Rhinolophus ferrumequinum: one gene and its partners. The protein of the gene in region 1 binds, or shares a complex with, the protein of each later gene. Links are inferred from orthologs where the notes say so. Each region holds a gene or a part of one and is shown in the gene's direction. Other genes may lie near its edges.

Evidence for each region.
Region 2: the proteins of LRRC32 (region 1) and TGFB1 are in contact, whole or in part, in a cryo-EM structure (PDB 8VSC), measured with the Homo sapiens proteins. The link is inferred for Rhinolophus ferrumequinum from reciprocal best matches to the Homo sapiens genes LRRC32 and TGFB1. Residues at the interface, in NP_001122394.1 of Homo sapiens: Ser135, Tyr137, Glu158, Ser160, Thr162, Val184, Met186, Asp187, Ile188, Glu189, Asp190, Phe193, Leu202, Leu204, Arg206, Asn207, Ser208, Leu209, Thr210, Cys211, Ile212, Ser213, Asp214, Phe215, Ser216, Leu217, Leu223, Leu225, Cys227, Ser229; in NP_000651.3 of Homo sapiens: Leu30, Ser31, Thr32, Cys33, Lys34, Pro325, Pro327, Tyr328, Ile329, Trp330, Ser331, Leu332, Thr334, Gln335, Tyr336, Val339, Leu342, His346, Ala353, Pro354.
Region 3: the proteins of LRRC32 (region 1) and TGFB3 are in contact, whole or in part, in a cryo-EM structure (PDB 8VSB), measured with the Homo sapiens proteins. The link is inferred for Rhinolophus ferrumequinum from reciprocal best matches to the Homo sapiens genes LRRC32 and TGFB3. Residues at the interface, in NP_001122394.1 of Homo sapiens: Ala110, Ser135, Tyr137, Ser160, Val184, Met186, Asp187, Ile188, Asp190, Phe193, Leu202, Leu204, Arg206, Asn207, Ser208, Thr210, Cys211, Ile212, Ser213, Asp214, Phe215, Ser216, Leu217, Cys227, Asn228, Ser229, Lys254; in NP_001316868.1 of Homo sapiens: Leu24, Ser25, Thr26, Cys27, Thr28, Leu30, Pro347, Pro349, Tyr350, Leu351, Arg352, Thr357, His358, Val361, Leu364, Leu368, Ser375.

Annotation. Positions count from the first base shown.
Region 1 is NC_046294.1:51,148,992-51,156,593, reverse strand, and holds the start of LRRC32 (transforming growth factor beta activator LRRC32), read left to right. Parts: upstream 1-4,586; coding exon 4,587-4,658; exon of another isoform or gene 4,659-4,669; coding exon of another isoform or gene 4,670-4,672; intron 4,673-6,272; coding exon 6,273-6,283; intron 6,284-7,086; coding exon 7,087-7,090; intron 7,091-7,602.
Region 2 is NC_046298.1:39,655,184-39,662,955, reverse strand, and holds the start of TGFB1 (transforming growth factor beta-1 proprotein), read left to right. Parts: upstream 1-4,690; 5' UTR 4,691-4,725; coding exon 4,726-5,080; intron 5,081-7,772. Other genes in the region: B9D2 (B9 domain-containing protein 2), read left to right, coding at 198-326, 2,632-2,945. UniProt on the Homo sapiens protein: Transforming growth factor beta-1 proprotein: Precursor of the Latency-associated peptide (LAP) and Transforming growth factor beta-1 (TGF-beta-1) chains, which constitute the regulatory and active subunit of TGF-beta-1, respectively.
Region 3 is NC_046289.1:22,844,397-22,851,397, forward strand, and holds the start of TGFB3 (transforming growth factor beta-3 proprotein), read left to right. Parts: upstream 1-3,972; 5' UTR 3,973-5,099; coding exon 5,100-5,439; intron 5,440-7,001. UniProt on the Homo sapiens protein: Transforming growth factor beta-3 proprotein: Precursor of the Latency-associated peptide (LAP) and Transforming growth factor beta-3 (TGF-beta-3) chains, which constitute the regulatory and active subunit of TGF-beta-3, respectively.

The DNA of each region.
Region 1 (7,602 bases):
CAGCCCCAGAGCTCTCTCAGGCTCCTGTAGCAGGCGAATCTTTCCCGCGAAGGGCGTGGCCGGCGTTTCCCATTTGACAGATGGGAAGACAACAGCCGAAAGGCCAGCACTTGGCGGGAACACATAGCTAGTCAGTGGCAGATCAGGATTTGAATCAAGGTCTCCTGCCATCCTCTGACTTAGGCCTGCGTGGGCTTCCCATCCACAGTACCAGATAACCTGCCTATATAGAGTGTGGGGGTGCACCCCCCTCTCCCTCAAAAGGGCTCCAAAGCCAGCCTTCTTTATGGGTGGTAAGATGTGAGGGACCCCCACCCCCACCCTGGGCTGCCTGAAATTCTGCCATCACAGCCACATTCCTTTGGGTTAAGGTCTAATTCCCCCCCGTGGGATGCACAGGTCTGCCCTAGTGATTCACTGCTCCGAACGGGGATCCGCAGCTCTCCCAGGACCCCTCTGCCAATGATCCCTGCTGAGAGGAGGGGGAGAACACCCCCAGCCCAGCATCATGAGCCTGTCTGCTTGTGGATGTTAGGGTGGCTGTCATTGGAGGGGGTCAGAGAGGGAGAGCTTGGCCTGGGGTAGTGGAAACATTTGCTTTGGAGGCAGACAGACGGGACTCTGATCCTGACTCTGCTGTTTATCGCCTGTGTGACTTTGGGGAAGTCGCCTCTCTGAGCCTCTTTCCTCACAGGCAAATTGAGGGCAGTGTTATAGGGACAGGCAACTCACACCTGCTGGAGAGAACACAGCATTTGGGTCATGTAGACCTGAGCGAAATCCCCAAGCACTTATGAGCTGGGTAGCAATGGGTAAGTCATTTCATCCTTCTGAGCCTCAGTTTTCTCATCTGTAAAATGGAAATCATAGTAATTACTTCATTGGGTTGTGAGAATTAAGTGAGATAATATAGGTCAAGTGCTTAAAGAGTGTCTAATATCCTTAATAGTAAGGATAGGCTTATCATGATAGTAGGCATTGCCCCACCCCATTTCTCTCTCTCTCTCTCTCCTCTCTCTCTCTCTCTCTCTCTCTCTCTCTCTCTCTCTCTCTCTCTCACACACGACACACACACACACACACACAGCTATTCTTTAGCCTTTCTCCCTCCAGTCAGAGTCCCTAGGATGTCTCCTGTCACCACTTGTCCACCCGGCCTGGGGCCTCCGCCCTCAGCACACCTGACCTGGGCTGCTCAGCCTTGCAGGTCATGGTACCAGCTAGAAAGACAACATGTGTCCAGGGCACCTTCATAGCCATTCTCAGCTTGATCGTCACAATGGTGGGGGTAGTCAAATGGCAGAACGGAAACCAGGCTACTTGCCCTACCCGAGGGATGGTGAGTAGGCACTGAAGAGTTAAGGGACTTGCCCCAGGGAACAGGCTGGGGAGCAGTCGAGTCTGGATGGGAGCCTGCTTCTGAGTGACCCCAGTCCTCCCACTTGAGAAAAAGTCACCCTCAAATTCTACACACTGTGTCTTGGGCACTGCTGATGGATGCACACAGCTGAGGAGTCCCCTTCTGTCAGATGCCAGAGCAGAGTTCCACTGCTGCAGGGACAATCCCTGCCGGATGCTCTGGTGCCCATCTTGGGGGTAGGGTGGGATTTGGCAGGCAGAGGAGGGGGACATGAGGACCGCTTTGAGCGGCAATGCCTTCAGGTCAGAGCTAAACCGGACCCTTGCTTGTCCTCCCCTCACACTCACCCCTCAGCTCATTTGCTCCATAGCTCTTTAGTGAGCACCCCTTAATAGACCCCTGTTCTCATAGAATAAAAAATTAATTATGAGGAAATGGTCAAGGTGAGGAAACAAGAAAACCTGTAGGGATCTGGGGAAGAGCATTCCAGGTGGAGGGGAGCAACAGGGCAAAGGTCCTGAGGCAGGAATGCACTTGCTGTGTTTGAGTAATGACCAAAGAATGGCGAGAACGCTAGAATTTGGTGAGATGGAGTCAGAGAGGAGAGGTGTAAAGCCTGGGCTCTACTGGAGGTTCCTCCAAGCTGTGAGAGGCGTGATCTGATCTATGATTTAACAACACCTCTGCGCTGCTACGTGTCAGACAGACTGAAAGAGGCCCAGGGTCATGGTGGTGCCTCAGCCTGTGGCGATGATGGAGGAGGGAGGTAGGCAGAGCATGGGGCCTATTTCTCAGGGAGAGCAGACAGAACCCGCTGGCTGGCCAATGGGGGTAGGGGGTGGGGTGGGGAAGGAATAAGTGTGGCAGGGAGAGTCAAGTTGAACAACTGCTCTCGCAAGTGTCACCAAGACACTTCATGTCAATTCTCAGTGCTTCCTCCCCACCTGCCCAGTGGTTTGAGATGGGTCCCAGAGGACAGTGAGCCCCTCTGCCCTAGGGACACTTCACATAGGAGTGGGCGGCGGGGGTGGGGGGTGGTTAAACCATAGAGTGCTCGGTGCTGTGCTCCCTGGAAGCTCAAGGGCTATGGGAACCTGGAGGAGGGACCAACACATAGCCCAGATTTAGGGAACCAGGAAGGCTTCTGGGAGGAGGTGACATCTAAGCTGAGACCCCAAGGATAAGGAGGTATTCAGCACAAGAGAAAAGGGGCTCTGAGAAGTAAAGGAAATAGGAGGCTTTCAGAACCCAGAGTGGGAGAGGGGACAGTGAGAAATGAAGCTGGAAAGGAGAGCTGGCTGGATGCGGCACACTCCCCAAGGGCCTCAGAGGCCCGGCTGAGGGGTTTCCACTCAATTCTGAGTATACCAGCTTTCAGATGGGTGATGATGTTCTGCTTTTTAAACAGCAGAACAAAATTTCCTGTGAAAACCCAACCTGTGATGCAGGTGAGAAGAGAGCAGCTGTGGGGGCAGAGGCCCATGCTGAGGGGAACCCAAGGAACAGGGTTTAAAAGGCCGCCGTGGCCCCTGCCTGTATGAACAAGAAAGAACCTCACAATTGCCACGTTCACTTAAAATTCATCGCAAGGATGCTAGTGGGTCCCAACAGTAACGACCCAGCCCTCAAAGTTCTAGAAATGCCTCTTATAAAGTATCCTCAGAGTCACCGTTCAGCATCTCTGGGAGACCTTATAGTGTAGAGGGTAAGGGCACAAACCGAGGAGCCAGACTTGTTAGCTGTGAGACCTTGGATGTGTTACTGAATCTCTCTGAGCCTCAGCTTCCCCGTCTGCAATATGGGAATGGGAGTCATGGAGCCAAATCATTGAATTACTGGGAGGATTAAATGAGTTAATACATATAAAGTGTCAAGAAAAGTACCTGGTGCATAATACCGTGTCTCCCCAAAAATAAGACCGGGTCTTATATTAAGCTTTGCTCCAAAAGACGCATTAGGGCTTATGTTCAGGGGATGCCCTCCTGAAAAATCATGCTAGGGCTTATTTTCCAGTTAGGTCGTATTTTCGGGGAAACACGGTAAGGGCTCTGTAAGTGGCACTTTCCTAGAATATATCTTATTGATCTTTACCAAAACTTGGCAGGTCAGCATTAACTTCAGAAAAGGAAACTGAGGCTCAGAGAGGTGACATGATTTGCATAAGGTCACGTAGCAGGTAAGTGGAGGAGACATAAGTAACAGTCAAGTATGGGTGACTCTGAGTCCAGCGCCCTAGGAGGGCTTTGTGTGTCCCTCTTTCTTAATGCTCTGTATGTATTATGTCACTTCTGTGCATTTATTTGTATCCTCAGTTCTCAGCACAGAGCCAGACATGAGGAAACATTCAGTAAAGGTGTGAATGAATGGATGAGTGCAATCGATGGATGAATCTGTGTGTTCCTAGCACTTGGCCCATGTCCTCAGTGAGGGAACCCCTAGCAACACTGGGATTCCACCCTATTGAGGGTCTCTGTGCTCCCCCTGCTCATAGAGAGAAGGGCGGGTTCAGCAGGCCTCAGTGTCCTCTGCATTGGCACTTGCTGTGGCTTCAGTGAAAGTAAAAGGCCTGGCAGCGTGCTCCTGGGGAAGTTCACTACCTCAGTGCTGGGGGCAGGGCAGGCCTCCTGGCGGGGCTTCCTGTCAAGGCTCCAGGCCCAGCCTTCAAACAATGGCAGGGACTGGAGAATCAGAAAATCAAAAGAAAAAGGGCAAAATAAAGTCCAGGGGTGGGGGTGGGGGTGTTGAGGAATTCTGTTTGGGGCCTGAGGAACTAGGATGGGGTGAGCTGCTTGTGGCTTGTGTAGAAATGGAGTCAGAGGCCCAGCTCCCCACCTCATCCCACCCCAGCCCTAGGGCAGCCCTTAGGGTCCCTCTGCCTCCTGCTTACCCCATCCAGACTGTCTTCCACCAGGTGGGGTCTTTTGAAACCCAAATCTAATCATGTCACCCACTGCTTAAAAATTCTTGCTGGGGTGGGGGGTGGGGTTGAGGGTGGGGAATGGCCCAGCTCCTTGGCTTGGCCTTGGAGTCCCCTTGCAATGGGCTACAGTCCCATTTCCTGCCCCCTTCACAACGTTCCCCATTCACGCACCTTAATTCCAGCTATGACTGTGGCCTGGGGTTCCCTGAGGCCAGGCACAGACAGGGTGAGAGGGTGGGGGCTGGCAGTGGGAAGGAGCCTGAGTTTTTACACTATTCCCTTTCCTTTCCCTCTCTATGCAGAGCCATGAGCCATCAGACCCTGCTGCTCCTGGCCGTGCTGACCTGGGGCCTGGCTACCTCCCAACACCGAGACACGGTGCTTGTAAGATGGTAAGAAACCCTGCCAGAAAGGGTAAGCTTCCTCTCCCCAGCCCTAGGGTATCCTACTGTCCCAGCCCCAGAAGCCAGAAGTTAGACGAGTCAGAAGAGGAAAGGCAAGGCATGTAATGCATTTAAACTGCTAGAATGTTCAAATACCTATTTACTATTAATCCTGCCAGGTAAGTACCATTATTCCCATTTTACAGAGTTGGAAGCTGAGGTTTGGAGAGATTAGGTAACTTGTCCAAAAATCATTCAACTAGGATCAGTAGGCCCAACATTGAACTCTGTTCCCCCAAAGCTGCCCCCACAGGGCAGTGGTCAGCTGGGTAATGTTGAATATATATATGGTGGGGGGGAATTTGGGGTGGGCCAGCTGGGAAGGGTTCTCATGTACTAGGTTCCTCCTGAGGACAAATCCCCTTTTCTAACTGTTCTCCTTGACTTGGACCCGTATGCCACATCCCTGCTGGGGTGTCTCTCACTCATTACAGCCCAGGTTAAATGCTGACTCTTCCTGTGATTCTTCCCAGGCTGACCTGGTTCTGTTTCCTCCCTTGTCTGGACTTCCGCAACCCCAAGCTTCCCTCCATCTCAATATTGAGCACATGGCATAGTTGACACATGGGTCCAAGCCTGTCTCACCTGCAAGACCAAGAACTTCTTGAGGGCCAGATTTGATTCACTTTGTTTCCTTTTTAGTCCCTGAGCCAGGGAGACTAGCCCTAACGCTACTGTGACCTTGTGGGGTACAGAGAAAAGGGACCACCTCAGTCTACTTGTAAGGCTGAGTCGTCGCTGAGCTCAAGGCAGGAGCTCTGGCAGCTCCACCTGGACTTGGGGCTGGAAGCTTATGACACAGAATGGCAGCTGCTTCTGGAGACTGGATGTGCTGGCAGCAGGAACCCAGCAGCCCTTCTTTGGGGTTGCAGTATCCTGCTGTTGTCACCTCACTTCTTGCTCTTCAGATCCCTTCTGAGATTCCTAGAACCCATAATAATCAGAGAAGGACTCACATGTCACCAAATATAGCTGACATTCTACCTGAGGCGACAGGCTCCGAGAGGTGAAGGGTCTGGGCCACCCAACAGGAAGGGGAACTGGGTGAGGTTTGGATTTAGGGCAAATGAGATACTGGGCAGGGAAGCACTTTCCGAACTACCACAGAAGGAATTATGATGATTTTCAAAATAGTAAAACAAAAATTGCCACAGACTCAGGGCTGAAGCGGTACCTGCACCATGCTGAGGGCTTTCTCTCCTTTTCTCCTGCCAGAACTCCTCTTTTCAGCTGAGGAAACTAAGGCTGAGAGAAGAGCTATGACCTGCCAGGCTCATACAAATAGGAAGTAACAGAGCAGGATTCGAACCCAGCTGTCCCGAGCTTATGCTATCCACTGCTGTGTGACTCTTCCTACCCTACCCTGTTTTCCTTCTATGGTCAGGTGGTAAAATGGAATTGGGTGTCAAGCCCTGCGCCCCTCAAAAAAAAAAAAAAAAGGTAGGGAGCAGTGGCATTTGGCATCCCAGAGAGCTTGGGTAGGGGTGTCGGAGAAGCTATAAACTTGGCAAGGGCTGATTCCCCCAAGACCCCTCCCCATGTAAGTCAGTCCCCATGTAAGTCAGGCGCTCAGGAAGTGGTGGGCACCCTGGAAATGGAGTGCCGAGAGCTGCCCTGGCCTTTAAGCTCCTTCCCGGACTAGACTGGAGACTTGGGTAGCCCAGTGCAGGCCTACCTGCCAGCAGCCTCCTCTCGGCCTCTGACAGGGTCCTGGGCCCCTGGGCATGAAGCAAGTTTTAGGCTCTGAGCTTGGCCAGCTTTGTGTCCGGGCTTAACTTTCAGAGGTTAGTGCCCGGGGAGCCTTTGAGTATCCAGAGGTGAAATGGGACATGGGCTTGCATATGGGGTAACATGTAATGCACAGGACAGTGCCCCCAACACAGTAAATGCTCAGGAAGTGTGGCTGGTATTATTTACTGTGCCGAAAGACTCAACCTGGGTGCTCGACCAGCTGAGGGCCCAGTGCTCAGAACTTGGCTGGCACCAATAGGAAAAGGAACTTGCAATAGTAGTTTTGAGCCTCTGACTATCTGATTTGGGGCAGCCCACCCGCTAAGCCTCAATTTCCTTAGGGTGTTCTAAGGAGTAAATATGCCTTAGAAGATTAAATAAGGCAAAGGGATCTATGCGTTCAGCACAATCTTGACAGAGCTACCGCGTTTCCCCGAAAATAAGACCTAACCGGAAAATAAGCCCTAGCGTGATTTTTCAGGAAGACATCCCCTGAACATAAGCCCTAATACGTCTTTTGGAGCAAAAATTAATATAAGACTCGGTCTTATTTTCGGGGAAACATAGTAGCACTCCATAGTTAGTGGCAGTCATTGTGTTTGTGTTCATTTTGCTGTTCCTTCTTTAAGCAGGATGGTCCAGGAGCTGAGGACAGGGAGGCCATGCCTAGTGGCCGCAGCTGGCCAAGAGGCTGTGGGGGAGGAAAGGTCAAGGAGCCAGGCAAGACTGGCAAGGTGGCCAGGGTAGGTTTCCAGTTAACATGGATGCCCTACCGCAGGGGTATCCCTGTGCCTCTGAGTAGGCCAGTCGCTGTACTGCATGGAATAGGAAGAGGCACACAAATGCCTGATGGAGGGCAGTCTGTTCCTCCCCTCTCCTCACCTTGGAGCTCTTGGGAAGAAGCCAAGAGCTGAGCCAGGCAGAAGGGAACCCCCAGGCTTGTGTTCCTGCCCCGCTGGCTCAGCCACTGACTCACCATGACCAGTGCAGGACATTGCCATCTTCAGGCTCAGTCTCCCCATCTGTGAAGTGGGTGGGCTGGACCCTTTTTGCTCTAACAGTCTTTGACTTTAGTCTGAGTATATGGATCATCTCTTTTCTTTCCTTTCAGAAAAGTGATTGAATCAATCCCTCAGAACTTTACTAAG
Region 2 (7,772 bases), on another chromosome or scaffold:
TAACTTGCCCAAGGGTGCACAGGCAGGAAGAAGTAGTCCCAGGATTTGAACACAGACATTTGGCTCCAGAGTCCCCATTTTGTAACCCCTGCCCCCCAGTGCCAGGGAGAAACGTGGTCCTACAGCCACAAGAGCATCCCCTTCCTGATGGCTGCCTCCGACCTCTCCCTGTCCCGTTGGTGTTCTGGCTCTCATTGCAGGGGCAGCATGGAAGCTCCTGTCAGGCATACGGGAGGGCCAAACGCAGGTGGACACCCCCCAAATAGGGGACATGGCCTACTGGTCCCACCCCATCGACCTGCACTTCGCCACCAAAGGTCTCCAAGGTGGGTTCCTGGCCTGGGCTCTGGACCTGACTGAAGGGAGGGGGGTTAGCAGCACGCCATGCTGCTGGGACTGGGAACACCAAGTCCTGTCCCTGCTCCCATGCCCTGTGGGTCCCTTTCCCGGCCAGGTCTGGTCCTGGAGAGGCTGATCTGCTACTTCCCTGGGCTGGCTCCAGAGTGTGTCAGAGGCCAGGGGTGGAGAGAGAAAGGGGAAGGTGGAGACCAGGGGGAGAGAGGAGGTGGCTTTGAAAGAGACAAACGAAGAGAGTTTTCATTCAGGAGGAAGCTGGGAGGGCTTATAAGAGAGAGGCAGGGCTGGTGGCTGTTCTCAGGCAGAGCTCCTCAGCTGTTCAGAGTGGAAATGAGTATGCGGGGGAGGAATGGTATCAGAAAATCTTTTCTGATGGAAAATTTGGGTCATTAGAGAGCAGTGGATTCCAGGAAATAGCCTAGGTAAATATGCCGTATATTTCAGCAATATAAACAATATTTACTGAGTGCCTGTCCTGTGGTGGGTGATGTCAGGGAGATGTCAGTGATTGAGACAGCCCCCAGCCCTGTCCTCACAGGGTTCACCATCCCATGGGGGAGACAGAGCTGTCCCCAGAAAGTGGCAGCCCAGAGTGGACAGGGCTGGGATGGGCGATTATAGAGAGCTGTGGGAGCCAAGAGGAGGCTCCTGACTGCCAGGGAGTTCAGGGAAAGCTTCCTGGAGGAGGGGATGTTTGAGCTTTGCTGTGAAGGTCCAGTAGGCTAATAAGGCAGAGGGAAGGAAGAGGTTTCTAGGCAGAGAGCTGTGTGCAGAAGGCACAAAGGGTAAAGTGAGCCAGGGCATTTGGAGGACGGAGATAAAGCAGGAGGACTGCAGGGGGTCAGGTGGCAGGGCCTTGAATGTCAGGCTGCAGAGCTGAGGCCATCTCCTGAAGACACAGCAGGCGACTAAGAAGTCAGATTTTGCTTTTAAAGGGTGATGGATTAGAGGGCGAGGCAGGCGACTGTCCTTTCACTCTTGAGACCCCCAGACCCCCTGTGTGGGTATATCATCCTGGCCTCCTCTTTTCCTGAACGCCCCCCTCCCCCCGCCCCATTCTGTCCATCAGGAAATCCCACTGGCTCTACCTTTGGAATGCATACTAAACCTCACCCTCTCCCCTGGCACCTGGTCTGTCCACCCTAACCTCTCACCTGGGCCATTACAGTAGCCTCTTCACTGGTGTTCCCACCCTAAACTCAGGGAAAAACCTAAGTCACGTTCCTCCTGTGCTAAGAACCCTCTACGTCCCATATCTCTCAGGATAAAAGCCAAAGCCTTACCATGGATCCCAAGGCCCGGCATGATCTAGTGCTGTCACCTCCTCCCTGCTCCCTCTCTCAATGGGCTCCTGCCACACTGGCTTCCCCAGGCAGCTCCCATCTCAGGCCTTTTGTACCAGCTGTTCCCCCTGCTGGGAGCACTCTTCCCTAGATGTCCACATGGCCCACTCCTTCTCTCCTTTAAGCATTTGCTCAAATGTTACCTCAGTGAAGCTTTTCTTGATCCCCACCTTTCTAAAACTGCATCCCCACCCCCACCCTACCCACCTTTATTTTTCTCCAGAGCAGTTATCACCATCTGACATACCCTATAATTTGCTTATTTACTATGTTCGTTGTCTAGGATGTCAGCTACATAAGGGCAAGAATTTTTGTCTGTTCTGTTCACCAATGTGTCCCCAGCTTCTGGAACAGGGCCTAGCACAGAGGGGCTTAGAAAGGAGGGTGAAATGGGACTGGATCTCCAAGGGCTTTGTCTACCAAGCTGAGGAGCTGAACTGTAGTCTGAGGACAGTGGGAAACTTATGGAGGGGGAGATAGATGCTTCCAGATGCCAGGTGGAAGGTGGATTGGAGGGCGCAAGAAAGAAGCCTCTGAGCCCAGAGAGGACAGGGTGGGCCAGGGTGTGGGAAGAAGGGAGGTGTCCAGGACAAGGCCCACGGTACTTACTCATCTGGCGACTGGGCCACACTGAGATGGAAACCAGAGAGGGAAGTCAGCAGAGGCTAGATCCAAAGAGCCTTGAATGTTGAGGTGGACTTTATACCAAGGGCACTGGGGAGCCATGGAAGGGTTTTAAGCAGTGGAGGAACATGGATTCAGAAACATCCCTTTGGCTGCCATGTTGAGGTGGGAGTCCAAAGAAGAGGCTGGGGAAGAAACCCAGGGGGAACGGACTACCTGAGGTCTCCAGTGGAGATCAAGGAAGTGGGGATCCACAAGCTGGAGACCCGGCTGTCCCATCCCTTCTTCCCTCCCTCCTTTCCTGCAGGCTGGCCCCGGCTCCATCTCCAGGTTTGGTCCCAGGACAGCTTTGGCCGCTGCCAGCTTGCAGGCTATGGCTTTTGCCATGTACCCAGCAGTCCCGGCACCCACAAGCTGGACTGCCCCACGTGGCGGCCCTTGGGCAGCTGGCGGGAGCAGCTGGCACGGGCCTTCGTGGGTGGTGGCCCTCAGCTGCTGCATGGGGACACCATCTACAGTGGGGCTGACCGCTATCGCCTGCACACAGCCGCCGGTGGCACCGTGCACCTTGAGCTGGGTCTACTCCTGCGCCACTTTGACCGCTATGGCGTTGAATGCTGAGGGACGCTGCCTCACGGGCCCCCATCCCCACTCCTGGACACCCAGTAAGGGCAGGATGGCACAATAGTCAGAAGTCTGGGCTCTGGAAACTGTCAGACCTGCCCGGAGCCAAGGCACACTGCGACTTCTGTCTTGGCTAGCACCTCTGAAGCCCAGTAGCTGTCCCTCTGGGGCCTAGTTTCCCTATCTGTGAAATGGAGACAGCAATGTGTGGGGTCCCAGGGGTTTGGAAGAGAAGAGGCTGCCTTGCACATGGAAATGTTCAATAAAGGAAAGCAGTTCTGACAGGTGTGGGTGTCTTCCTGACCTGTCAGATGGCCTGTGCCCTGTCCTCCCACTGACACCCTCCTTCCTCAGGCCCCCACCTTTTGACAGACCTGCATCCCCCATCCTTCTCAAACTCTGATCTCCCCATTCTGGGTGCCCCTCTTATGACCCCTCTCCTTGGGGCTCCCCTTCCTCTGTGCCCTTCTCCCCACTAGGTTCCCCCATCTGGCTGACCTTCTCTCCAGCTTCCAACTCTATTCTGCGTCCCCTCCTCTGATTCCCTGTCAACTGTGTCCCCATCCACTGATTGAGCCCTCCTCCCCAGGTCTTCATTCTCTCGGTGACCAGCCGCCTCCCCCGCCCCGTCCCCACACACACACACACACAGTCTTCAAAGCCACACGCATCCGGGTCGCCCGCTTTGGTAGCGCTCGGCCGCCAGGAGGCAGCACCCTGTTCGTGGGGCGGGGCCGGGGTGCCCGCCCCCTCCCCCGGGGCTTAAGGGACCCCCCTCAGAGCCCGCCCACGCGAGCTGAGAACGGTGGCCCGGCCCCCGCATGCCCTCACCCCTGGGGGCCACCCCCGCCCCGCGCGCTTCCTGGGTGGGGCCGGGGCGGCTTCAAAACCCCCCGCCGCCCCAGCCGGTCCCCGCCACCGCCGCCGCCCTTCGCGCCCCGGGCCGTCCCACCCCCCTCCTCCCGCCGCAGATCCGCCAGACAGCTAGGCCCCCGGCCGGGGGCAGGGGGGACGCCCCCTCCGGGGCACCCCCCCGGCTCGGAGCCATCCGCCGGGTCGGCCTCAGCCGGGAGCGGAGGAAGGAGCCGCCGAGGAGCAGCCCGAGGCCCCAGAGTCTGAGACGAGCCGCTGCCGCCCCCGCCGCCGCCACTGCGGGGAGGAGGGGGAGGAGGAGCGGGAGGAGGGACGAGCTGGTAGGGAGAAGAGGGAAAAAAGTTTTGAGACTTTTCCGCTGCCGTTGGGAGCCGGAGGCGCGGGGACCGCTTGGCGAGGCGCTGCCGGGCGAGGAGGCAGCACTTGGGAACCGCAGACTGCTCCCCCACCGCCTCGGAAGCTTGCTTCCTCCGTGCCTACACGTCGTCCCTCAGGCGCCCCCATTCCGGACCAGCCCTCAGGAACCACAAACCCGACTCCCGCGAAGACTTGACCCCAAGACCTCGGGCGCACGCCCCTCTCCTGAGCTCCCGCGCATCCAAGGACACTTCTCCGGAGTCTGGGAGACGGGATCTCTCTCAGACCTGCCTCAGCTTCCCTATTCGAGACCACCCACCTCTGGTACCAGATCGCGCCCATCTCGGGTTTTTCCGTGGGATACCGAGAAGCCACCCGCTAGAGCTTCCCTTCCGTCCTCCGCGAGGGCCTCAACTTCCCCCTCCCCGCAGGCCCTCCTACCTTTCCACGGGAGACCTCCCCCCCAGCCCCTGTAGGGGTGGGGCCTCCCTCTTCGCATCCCAGCCCCGCTTGCGCTCTCGGCAGTGCCGGGGGCGCCGCCTCCCCCATGCCGCCCTCCGGGCTGCGGCTGCTGCCGCTGTTGCTGCCGCTGCTGTGGCTACTAGTACTAACCCCGGGCCGGCCGGCCGCCGGACTATCCACCTGCAAGACCATCGACATGGAGCTGGTGAAGAAGAAGCGCATCGAGGCCATCCGCGGCCAGATCCTGTCCAAGCTGCGGCTCGCCAGCCCCCCGAGCCAGGGGGATGTGCCGCCCGGCCCGCTGCCCGAGGCCGTGCTGGCCCTTTACAACAGTACCCGCGACCGGGTGGCCGGAGAGAGCGCCGAGCCGGAGCCGGAGCCGGAGGCGGACTACTATGCCAAGGAGGTCACCCGCGTGCTAACGGTGGAAAACAGCCACAGTGAGCTCGGAGGGGCAGGGGATCCTGGAGGGGAGCCCCCAGCGGGCGCCGGCGTGCTGGGGTCGGGGAGGAAATAACTAGCGGAGGAAACTGGAGAGAGAGGACTCCTGGGGGCGCTGGGAACGTGGGACGGAGTCTCAAAGAGCTCCCTCCACCCCCAGGTGTCTGGTCTTGAAGAGGAGATAGTGAACCAAGTGGACAGCTTCTAGAGAGCGACCGGAACATGCAGGATCGAGGCGCGGGAGTCCCCTAGAGGGAGAGAAGCAATGGGGGAGGGGTAGAAAAGACTTTCGGCTACTGGGTGCACTAGAGTGTGGGGGTCGTGGGATAGGGGCTGAAGACAGGGTGCCCGCTTTGGGAGAAGCGAAGACCCCATTTCTGAGCAAGGAGAAGCAGTAGGGAAAGCTGACGCAGAGCTCAGGGATCGTGAGGCGAGAAGATTAAAGAAGGACAGAAAAGCTAGGTAAAGCGAAGCCCGGAGGTGCCAGGAAAAGTGGACCAGTTTACAGCAGGCGCCAGGAATACGCGGGATTGGGGGGTGGAGCAGAGAGACGGTTGGGGGTGAGAAATGCGGGGAAGAAGTGGGCGCGAGTTCGTAGGAAGAGGGAAGCTAGCGGGAAAGAAGCGGAGACCTCTGGGGTACGGGGGATGCCCGGGGAGGTGCCCTGAGTACTTCACAGGTGGACGTGCGAGGAGGAAGCCCAGCTGAGGAAGCGAGCCCCTAGGAAACCTAGAATACTGGGTCGTGGGAAGGGGTTTACAGAGAGGAGAGACGCGTGGGAAAGGTGGACCGGGAGAGGGGCGGAGGAGAGATAAACGGTGGCCTACTGGGAGCGGCGAACCCTCCACACCGCGGATGGAAGGCAGTGGGCTGAGCGAGGAGTCCAGCCGCAGGGGGAGAGGTGGTGGGTGCGACTCTGCAAGATTGGGGTGAGGAAGCCCCACGTGGGTGCCACGCGCGGGGGAGTGGGGAGGAGCTGCGCGTCCGGAAGTGGGGAGGAAGAGAACCCCGCAGCTCTAAAGGCTGAGAATCTGGACCCCAAAGTGCCAGTTCCTCTCCGGGAGGTTGGGGAAACCCCAGCCTCCGGCGGCCTCTCCCGCCCTCCCTTCCCTTTCCTTCCCGTGCCCTGGGGGGCGGGGATCGCGCGAGGGGCCTGGGGCGAGACGGGGCAGGTCCGGTCCCCGCCCTCGCAGCGCCAGCGCCTCCGGCCCTCTTCACCCCAGCTCCGGGCGGGGCTACCGCTGGGCCAGCCCCGTCGGCGCCCACTCGGGTACCCCGGCGTCCCAAGTGGCCCAGAGGCTCGGGGTCTCCCTCCTTTAACTTTCCCTGTTGGGCAGTGGACTTGTGGGTCTCCAGCCCTTTTGTGCGCCCAACTGTGGCTCCAGTCAAATGACGCCCATCTCCACCCCTGTCTTCATCTCACCTTTTTTCCATGGTTGCTTCACCATCATTCTAGAGATTTCTCTACATTGTAGAGATTAACACTGATACTTTCAATCCTCTCCTCACAGACCGTCTCCATCTCCTCCCCAAACCCTCTGTCTCTCTCCCCGTGTGTCTCTCTGTCTCCTATCTCTGTTTTTCCATCTCTCCCGCATTTTCATTAGTCTCTCTGTCCGTTTGTGGGTCTCCCAGTTTCTGGTTCTGCACCTCTTCCCTCTCTTTCTCTTCCTCCTCCACACCTCCCCACCTTTCCCTGTCTCGCGTTCTCTCCCTCTCCCTGTCTGCCTTTCCCTACCCATCTTGTTACTCTTCCTCCCTATCTGTCTCCCCACCAGGCTCTATCCTTCCTCTGGGGGTTGCTGAGTAACCGCTGGGCCAAGATAGGGCTTATTGTGGGGAGGGGCTGGTCTGGCTAGAGGGGGGAAGAGTACGGAAAGGGGGCCCATAGAAGGGGTTACCTTTTACCTTTCTCATCAGATCCTGTCTCCCATTTTCGCACCCACACTACAGAGGCCTAAAATAGGTGCCCCAGTTGATCCGGGAGTTCATGGCCTGCCCTCTCAACCCCACCCCCAAACTTTTCTGAACTAGTAAACACTCTTCCTAATTTTCTAACCCCACTAAGCCATTCCTACCTAAAATGAACTTTGCCTTCTCTAACCAGCTAAGGGAGGAAATAATTAATAATAATAATAATAATAATAATAATAATAAATGTCATATTAACAGGGAGGCTGCATACCCTAGTAGTTGAGAGCGGTTGAAGTCTGGAACTAGACTTCCTGAGTTTGAATCCCTTTCTGCAGCTTCCTAGCTATGTGACCTTGGGGCAAATTTCTTAATCTCCTGTGCCTAGGTTTCCCCCTCTATAAAACAGGTATAATAAATAATATGTTCCTCCTGGGGTTGTTGTGAAGTTTAAATGCGAAGTGCTTTGAATATCGCCTGGCAAGTAGTGAGTGTGCTTTAACACGCACATTAGAGTGACCACTGTGTGCAGACTCTGTGCTACACGCTTCATCTTATTCGTGTCACTTTCTTTCACACTCTCACCCTGCAGTCAGTCGTTCCTTGTTTTACAGGTGAGAATCTGGCACAGAGAGAGGAATTCATTTGCCCAAAGTTACATAGCGCTTCAACGAGGAGAGCCTGGGTTGGAAGGCAGGGAGCTTGATGTGGAAGCCATTTCCCAAAGAATAGCAGGAAACTGAGGCTTCAAGAGGGAATGTGACTTGCCAAGGTCACAGA
Region 3 (7,001 bases), on another chromosome or scaffold:
AAGTTAGCCGCGTTGTGCCCGGATTCTATGTGCCATCCTCCAACTTAAATATTTCCTAAATCTGCCTCGCTTGACTTCCGGAAGAAACCTCCAGATATTAAATCCCGCTAAGGCTGCTCCTCTGGGGCGGTGAAAAACTGTTAGTCTTTTTAAAAATACGTTAAGTTATTAAGTGCACAGCACCACTATTAATAGTAGCAATTATTCTGATCCCTCCCATTTGTATAGCTCTTTGCAACGCACCTAGGACCTTCACAGTTATTAGCTCGTGTGAAAGGCATAACAATCTTGTGTGGGAAGCAACATAAGTTCTATTATCTCCATTGGACAGATGAGAAAACAGGCTACAGGGGGTCAGGTGTTAATAAATGGTTTATAACGGAAAATGCAATATACATAATCTCTGCCTTCAAAAAATTTAGAGAGGCTGAACTAACACATGAAGTACCTGAATAGTAATAACTATCAAAAGTCAAGTAATTCCTCCAACAACTCCATAAAATGAGCAGCAGTAATATATCTATTGAACAACTGAGGACACAGATGAAAAGAGGTGGCTTGAGGAAAATCACCTGAGTGTTAAGCAGCAGACCCAGATGGCTGTCTGACACCGTATTATTGGAGTATTTTTCTCCAGCACATATTCCTGGGTGCCAGCCTTTCTCCTAGGCCAGCAGAGTAAGATGGCCTGCAAATTCCCAGTGTGGGGGAAGGAGAAGCTTTCCTCTACTCTTCTAGCTTCTTTCAGCTGGTCTAATAATCAAATCAACATGAGACAGATTAACAAGAGAAAATAACCAAATTTAATTACATACTTAAGTATGGGAACCCCATATACATGGGCAAGTCAGAGACCCGCCACCTACATGAGAAGTTCAGAGATGAAGAGGGAAAAGGAGGTACATGTGACATTTTGAGCTAAGGATAAAGTAAGGCACATTGAGGCTTTAGAGGGAACAAATGTCATTTGCAGGACAATAAGAAGAGCAGGTGTTCAGTAATTAGAGGTTTGCCCTGGCCTATAGATAGACATAGTAGACATAGATATAAAAAGTTATTTCTGGTGATAACTCTTATTATGGGCAAGGCCTCTAATGTAAATTCTTTAAGGGAGAGATAAAAGTTTGTCATGAGACCACAGGGTCTTGACTGTTTTCAGCTCAAAATAATTCACATGCCCAAGTGACACATCTTGGGGAGGCCTGTTTTGAACCCCTTCACCAGCCTAATGGGGCGAGTGAGTTGAGTCTTCATTGACTCTACATATAAGATCCCCAAGTCGACACCATTGTCTGGGTCTCTGGTACTGGTCAGCGGGGACTCCCAGACGACGGGCTCATGGCACTGAAAGTGAGCAATGTCTCCAGTATTACACTGGCAGGAAGGCCTAGATGGCCACCGCTTCAAAGCGAGGGCATGGAAGTGGAAGTGGAAGTAGCAATCCTAAAACTGGATTGCAAGCATTTCTTGAATACTCAGTAAATTGCTCAGTTCAACCATTCATCCACCTATATTGACTGGAGAGGACTGTGCATTTTAGCACCCCACAGCACAATGCCGTTGACAGTCACAGCATTGCTTGGATGTCAGAAGAGTTGAGGTCTCATCCTAGCTCTACTGACAACTACCTGGGGAGCCAGGCAGAGCCTCTCTGGACCTCAGTTTCCTCTCTTGTAATTATTCTTAGAGATTACCCCAAAGATCGTTTATTCACTAACTCTGATTCTCACTGAGGATACTCTTCGATTTTAATCTGAAGAAACATTCATTGCTAAAAATCCGAGATGGATAAAATATAGGCTCTGATGAGTTCCTTGTTCCCTTCTTTCTTGGCACCAGAAGAGGAAGAAGGAATCAGTCTTTGGATTTTTTTCATTTCTTGTGAGCTCATAGCCATACCACCACCAACTTATAACCACTTTCCAAACCTTCACTCCTACTTCTTCCCCAACTTCCTGAAAGCAAGAGGTGATCAACGCTCACTCTGGACAGAAAGAAGCCCCAGAGTAGTGGCTTCCAAAACTTGCTGGACGCCAGATTCACCTGTGAAGTTTGTTAAAAGTACATATGCCAGGGCCCCATCCCGGGAGACTGATTTAGTAGAGGTGGAGTCCAGAAGAAAGTACCTTCGATAATTTTCCCTCCCATTTTGCAAGTTTGCTTAAAAGCCTCAGTAAGCCCTTTGCTGCTTTAAAACTGCAACATCTATTTTAAATTGCAACCACCACCACCGCCCACCCCCTCCACCCCTCACCCCCACCATACACACACTTCTTATCCTTCTTCCCTGTTTTGTTTTCTACCATGGCACTTACCCTTTATCATACTACATCATTTACATATTTATTTAGTTGATTGCCTTCCCCACTGCCCCACCTCCACTTCTAGAGTGTAAGCTCCATTAGGCCAAGGGTTTTGTTTGTTTTATTCACCTGCATATCCAGAGAGCCTAAAACAGTGCCTGGTATATAGTAAACACCAAAAATATTTGTCAAAGGATGGCTGAATTCCAGAGGCAGTAAAGCATAATAGTTAAACTCATAGACTCTTGCAATAGACTCCTCAGTCCAAATCTCAGTGTTGACACTGGTTATAAGACCTTAGGTAGATTACTTTTAAGTTTTCTACACCTGGGTTTTCTCATTTGTTATGCAAACGACAATAATGCCTACCCAAACTAGAGAGCTTATGTAAAATATCACCTCCACCACTCCAAGCAGTGGACTTTTAAGCTGCTCTGTGCCTCAGTTGCCTCCAGTGTAAACTGATCAACCGTGGTCTGGGGACGCAGTGAACATTCCTTCAGTTAATGGCCTAGGAGCCAGGAGCAGGAACCAGACCTGGCAGGAAGGGTCCAGGAAGGCCGGATGAGGTGGCTTGGGGTGGAGTGGAGGGGAGCAGCACTGATTCCCAGGAAAGTGATCCATTCAGGAGCAAGTCTGGGGGTGGGGGGGGGGGGGACCGGTGGAAGCGACGTGTCTTGCCCTCCCCGAGCTTCTGGGAAAATACCTAGAAGCTTAGGCTGAGACGAGGAACGAAAGAAAAGAGAAAACTTCCCCTCACCCATCTGGGAAATGGGCTCCTGCCAACTGCTGACTTTGCGCTCACTGGCTCAGTTCCCTGCGGAACCCCCGGCGGGGAGGGAGGCTGCGAACATCTGGAGGACATTTCTGCAAAAGAGCCGCTGCAGAGCAGGGCTCGGGGGAGGGAGAGTTGCACTTGTACGCACGTCGGGCCGAGAGGGAGGCTACTCCCCCAGGCCTTCAGGCTTGTTTTCCTCCGCCTTTCTTGCAGCCCCTTCTCCCCAGCCCCAGCCCCCAGCCCCCAGCCCTCCTCGCCTTCCCGGCTCCGACTCGCGGAGCCTCGGTCACTGACGGCCTCGCCTCGCCAGAGGGCACCCTCGATCTGCAGAAAAACGCCACCATTTTCAGTGCCCCTGGAGCATCTCCAAGCTTCAGCAGGCTGCCCGACTCCAATCTTGTCAATGAAGAATCGTGGCCAGGATCGCCGCGGAGCTGAACCCAACTCCAAGCCCGCAACTAGTCCGGGCATCGCCCCAACCGAGGGTGGCACGGCCGCCCCTGCCCAGGCCCCGCGCACGCCCGACCCTGCACAGTATCGGGCCTGGCCCGGGAAGGAGTGAGACTCGCGGAGGAGAGGGACAGACTGACAGCTGGAGAGGGCGAAGGAGTTGGGGGAGAAGCAGGGAGGGGATTCATCGGAGTAACTTTCCAGAAAAACAGTCAACGTGTAGCAGGAGTGACTCCAAGAGGGGAAAAAAAGTTCAGTTACCACGTCGAACTAGAGGACTCGCAAAGTATTTTTCAAATGGACTCGGCTTTTCCTGTGCCTGTTTAAAACATTAAAATTGTGCAGCAAAAGAGGCTGCGTGCGCTGGTCCCTCCCTCCCCCACCCGGGCCAGAGACGTCATCGGAGGGAGGTATAAAATTTCAGCAGAGAGAAATAGAGAAAGCAGTGTGTGTGCATGTGTGTGTGTGTGAGAGAGGGAGAAGAGCGAGAGGGAGAGAGAGGGAGAGGGAGAGGGAAACGCAGGAGGGAGAGAAAGGGAGGGAAGCAGAAAGCCAAGTCCGAGGCAATGAGCAAGGGAGGCGAGAGATAGGGGAAGAAGCATGAGAAAGAAGGAATAACAGCTTTCCGGAGCAGGCGTGCAGTGAGCTGGCTTCTATTTTATTTTTCTTTTCCTTTTTATTTTTTAAAGAGAAGCAGGGGACAGAAGCAATGGCCGAGGGAGAAGACAAGCCGAGGTGCTGGTGACCCTGGGCGTCCAAGTGGATTATTGGGGCTGTTCTCCAGGGGCCTGTCCTCCCTGCCTTCCAATTGCACATAACCCCACATCCCAGCCAATGAAGACAAGAGGCAACGGGAACAAAGTCATTTAGAAAGCCCCCGAGGAAGTGTAAACAAAAGAGAAAGCATGAATGGTGTGCCCGAGCGACAAGTGTGTCCTGTGCTGCCCCCACCTTTAGCTGGGCCATCAGCAGCCCAGCCCTGCCTCTCCCCACCTACTCACTGGTGATCTGACTTTTTTTTTTTTTTTTTAACAATTTTTTCCCCTTTTCTTTTTCATTCTCTTTTCTTATTCTCCCTCAGGGCAAGGCAAGGATTTTGATTTTGGGACCCAAGCCATGGTCCTTCTGCTCCTTCTTTAAAATACCCACTTTCTCCCCATCGCCAAGAGGCCTTTGGCAATATCAGATATCCGCTCTATTTATTTTTACCTAAGGAAAAACTCCAGCTCCCTTCCCACTCCCAGCTGCCTTGCCACCCCTCCCAGCCCTCTGCTTGCCCTCCACCTGGCCTGCTGGGAGTCAGAGCCCAGCAGAACCTGTTTAGACACATGGAGAAGAAACCCAGAGCTACAAGGCACACAGTCGGCTTCTTCGTGCTCAGGGTTGCCAGCGCTTCCTGGAAGTCCTGAAGCTCTCGCAGTGCAGTGAGTTCATGCACCTTCTTGCCAAGCCTCAGTCTTCGGGATCTAGGGAGGCCGCCTGGTTTTCCTCCCTCCTTCTGCACGTCTGCTGGGGTCTCCTCCTTGCCAGGCCTCACAGCCTCCCTGGCCTCTCTCCCCGGCTCGCATATGAAGATGCACTTGCAAAGGGCTCTGGTGGTCCTGGCCCTGCTGAACTTTGCCACGGTCAGCCTCTCTCTGTCCACTTGCACCACCTTGGACTTCAGCCACATCAAGAAGAAGAGGGTGGAAGCCATTAGGGGACAGATCTTGAGCAAACTCAGGCTCACCAGTCCTCCCGAGCCATCGGTGATGACCCACGTCCCCTACCAGATCTTGGCCCTTTACAACAGCACCCGGGAGCTGCTGGAGGAGAGGGAGGACGGCTGCACTCAGGAAAACACCGAGTGGGAGTACTATGCCAAAGAAATCCATAAATTCGACATGATCCAGGGGCTAGCGGAGCACAGTAAGTCCAATTCTCGCTGGGTGTCTGCTCTGAAGGGTCTGAACTAGAGTAGGGAGTTCCACGGAGGGGGCCCTATCGGTGGCTCGATGGCTCAGGAGGTACGATGCGCAATTGGGGCTGGGTAGGTGGGTGGGGAGGGAGACAGAGCCATTCTGGTAAGAGCCTGGCGCTTCTGGGAGGCCAGGAGCCCTGTGGTTGAGCTGCTTGCCGAACTCGAATCACATCCTTGACTGATTTTAATTTGGAGTTGCACGGTGCTGTCCCATTAACATATGTGCTCTCACCCATGCGAGCAGATGGGTAACTGTAAGCCAAAGGTGCCATAAAGGGGCAGGGCTGGCTCTCTCTCAAGCCCTACAGTTCCATGAATCTGGAGACCTCTGGCTTCTCCCTACTTTTCACAAGTCACTGTGACACGTCTCTGGTTCCGTTTCTCCAGTTCTTGGGAAGAAGAGTACCTACCCCACATTAATGTCTGTCAAGCTTTTGAAGCCCAGGCAAGAGACAGCTTCTTACTGTCTGGGTCCTTCAGTCTCCACCACACACGTGACCCACGTGAGCTGTGGGCGTGGGGGAAGGGTACACACCTCTGTTCACATGTACATGTGCTTTAGGGCGATGTGTAGTCTGGCTTTTATAACAGAAGACAGATTTTTGTGCTCAAAATGGGTGTCTTCCAGGCCTGTGGACACAGGAAGGCAGGGTTGTGGCTCTGGATATGTAGACGATTGCTGGCGGCCCTTTCGTGTCTGCGTGTCACGGGAAGAGTGGATGGGAGGTGTGGCTGTGGGTGCAGAGGGAACGTGTGTCTGGGAGTGTGCCCTCCCAGGAGGCTCCTGTCTGTGCCGAGGAGCTGGGAGGCTTCTGAGTGAGACGTCTCTGTGTTTGTACACGTGTGGAAGTCATGTGTGTTTACTGAAGAGGGATTTAAAAAACCTCAACATGAGAGACAGAGATTTGGCAGATGTTGAGAAACTGACAGCCCAGGAAGGAAGAATGTGAGCCACTCGTGGGCCAGGGACTCTGGAGAGATTTCTGTTTGCTTTTCCTACCAGCAGGTGGCCTCACCACCCTGACTACCTCAGCCCTGGCTCACCTGGGAGGTGCCTAGAGTGGGAGCTGGAAGGTGGGATGGAGCAGGCCGGGTGAGAGTGGTCAGCCATGGGGGTGGGGTGGGGAGGTGGAGGTAGGGGAGGGACTTCAGGGTTGAAAGGAACCTGGCTAGAGAGAAGGAAGAGGAGAGGATGGCTGATGGGTGGACGAGCTCTGGCTGAAGGTGCAAAAGGCCCCAGTGGGAGCTGGTCCTTGCCAGGCCCAGGAGCCTGTGGTTACTGGCGAGGGTTTCCCGCTCCAGTTTCCTGTGGTGCATGGAGCGCCCTGCCTTAGGATGTGGCTACTGTGTGGGGCGGAGGCTGGAGGACAAGAGCTAGTGTGCCCTGCCCAGGGTCCTCCAGAGGGGGCTGACATGGGGTCTGCCGGGGGCCCACAGTTCCCAGAGACACCGACAGCTAGATGGCTAAGCCCCCAACCCCTAGGCACCCATGAAGGCAGGAGTATTAGAG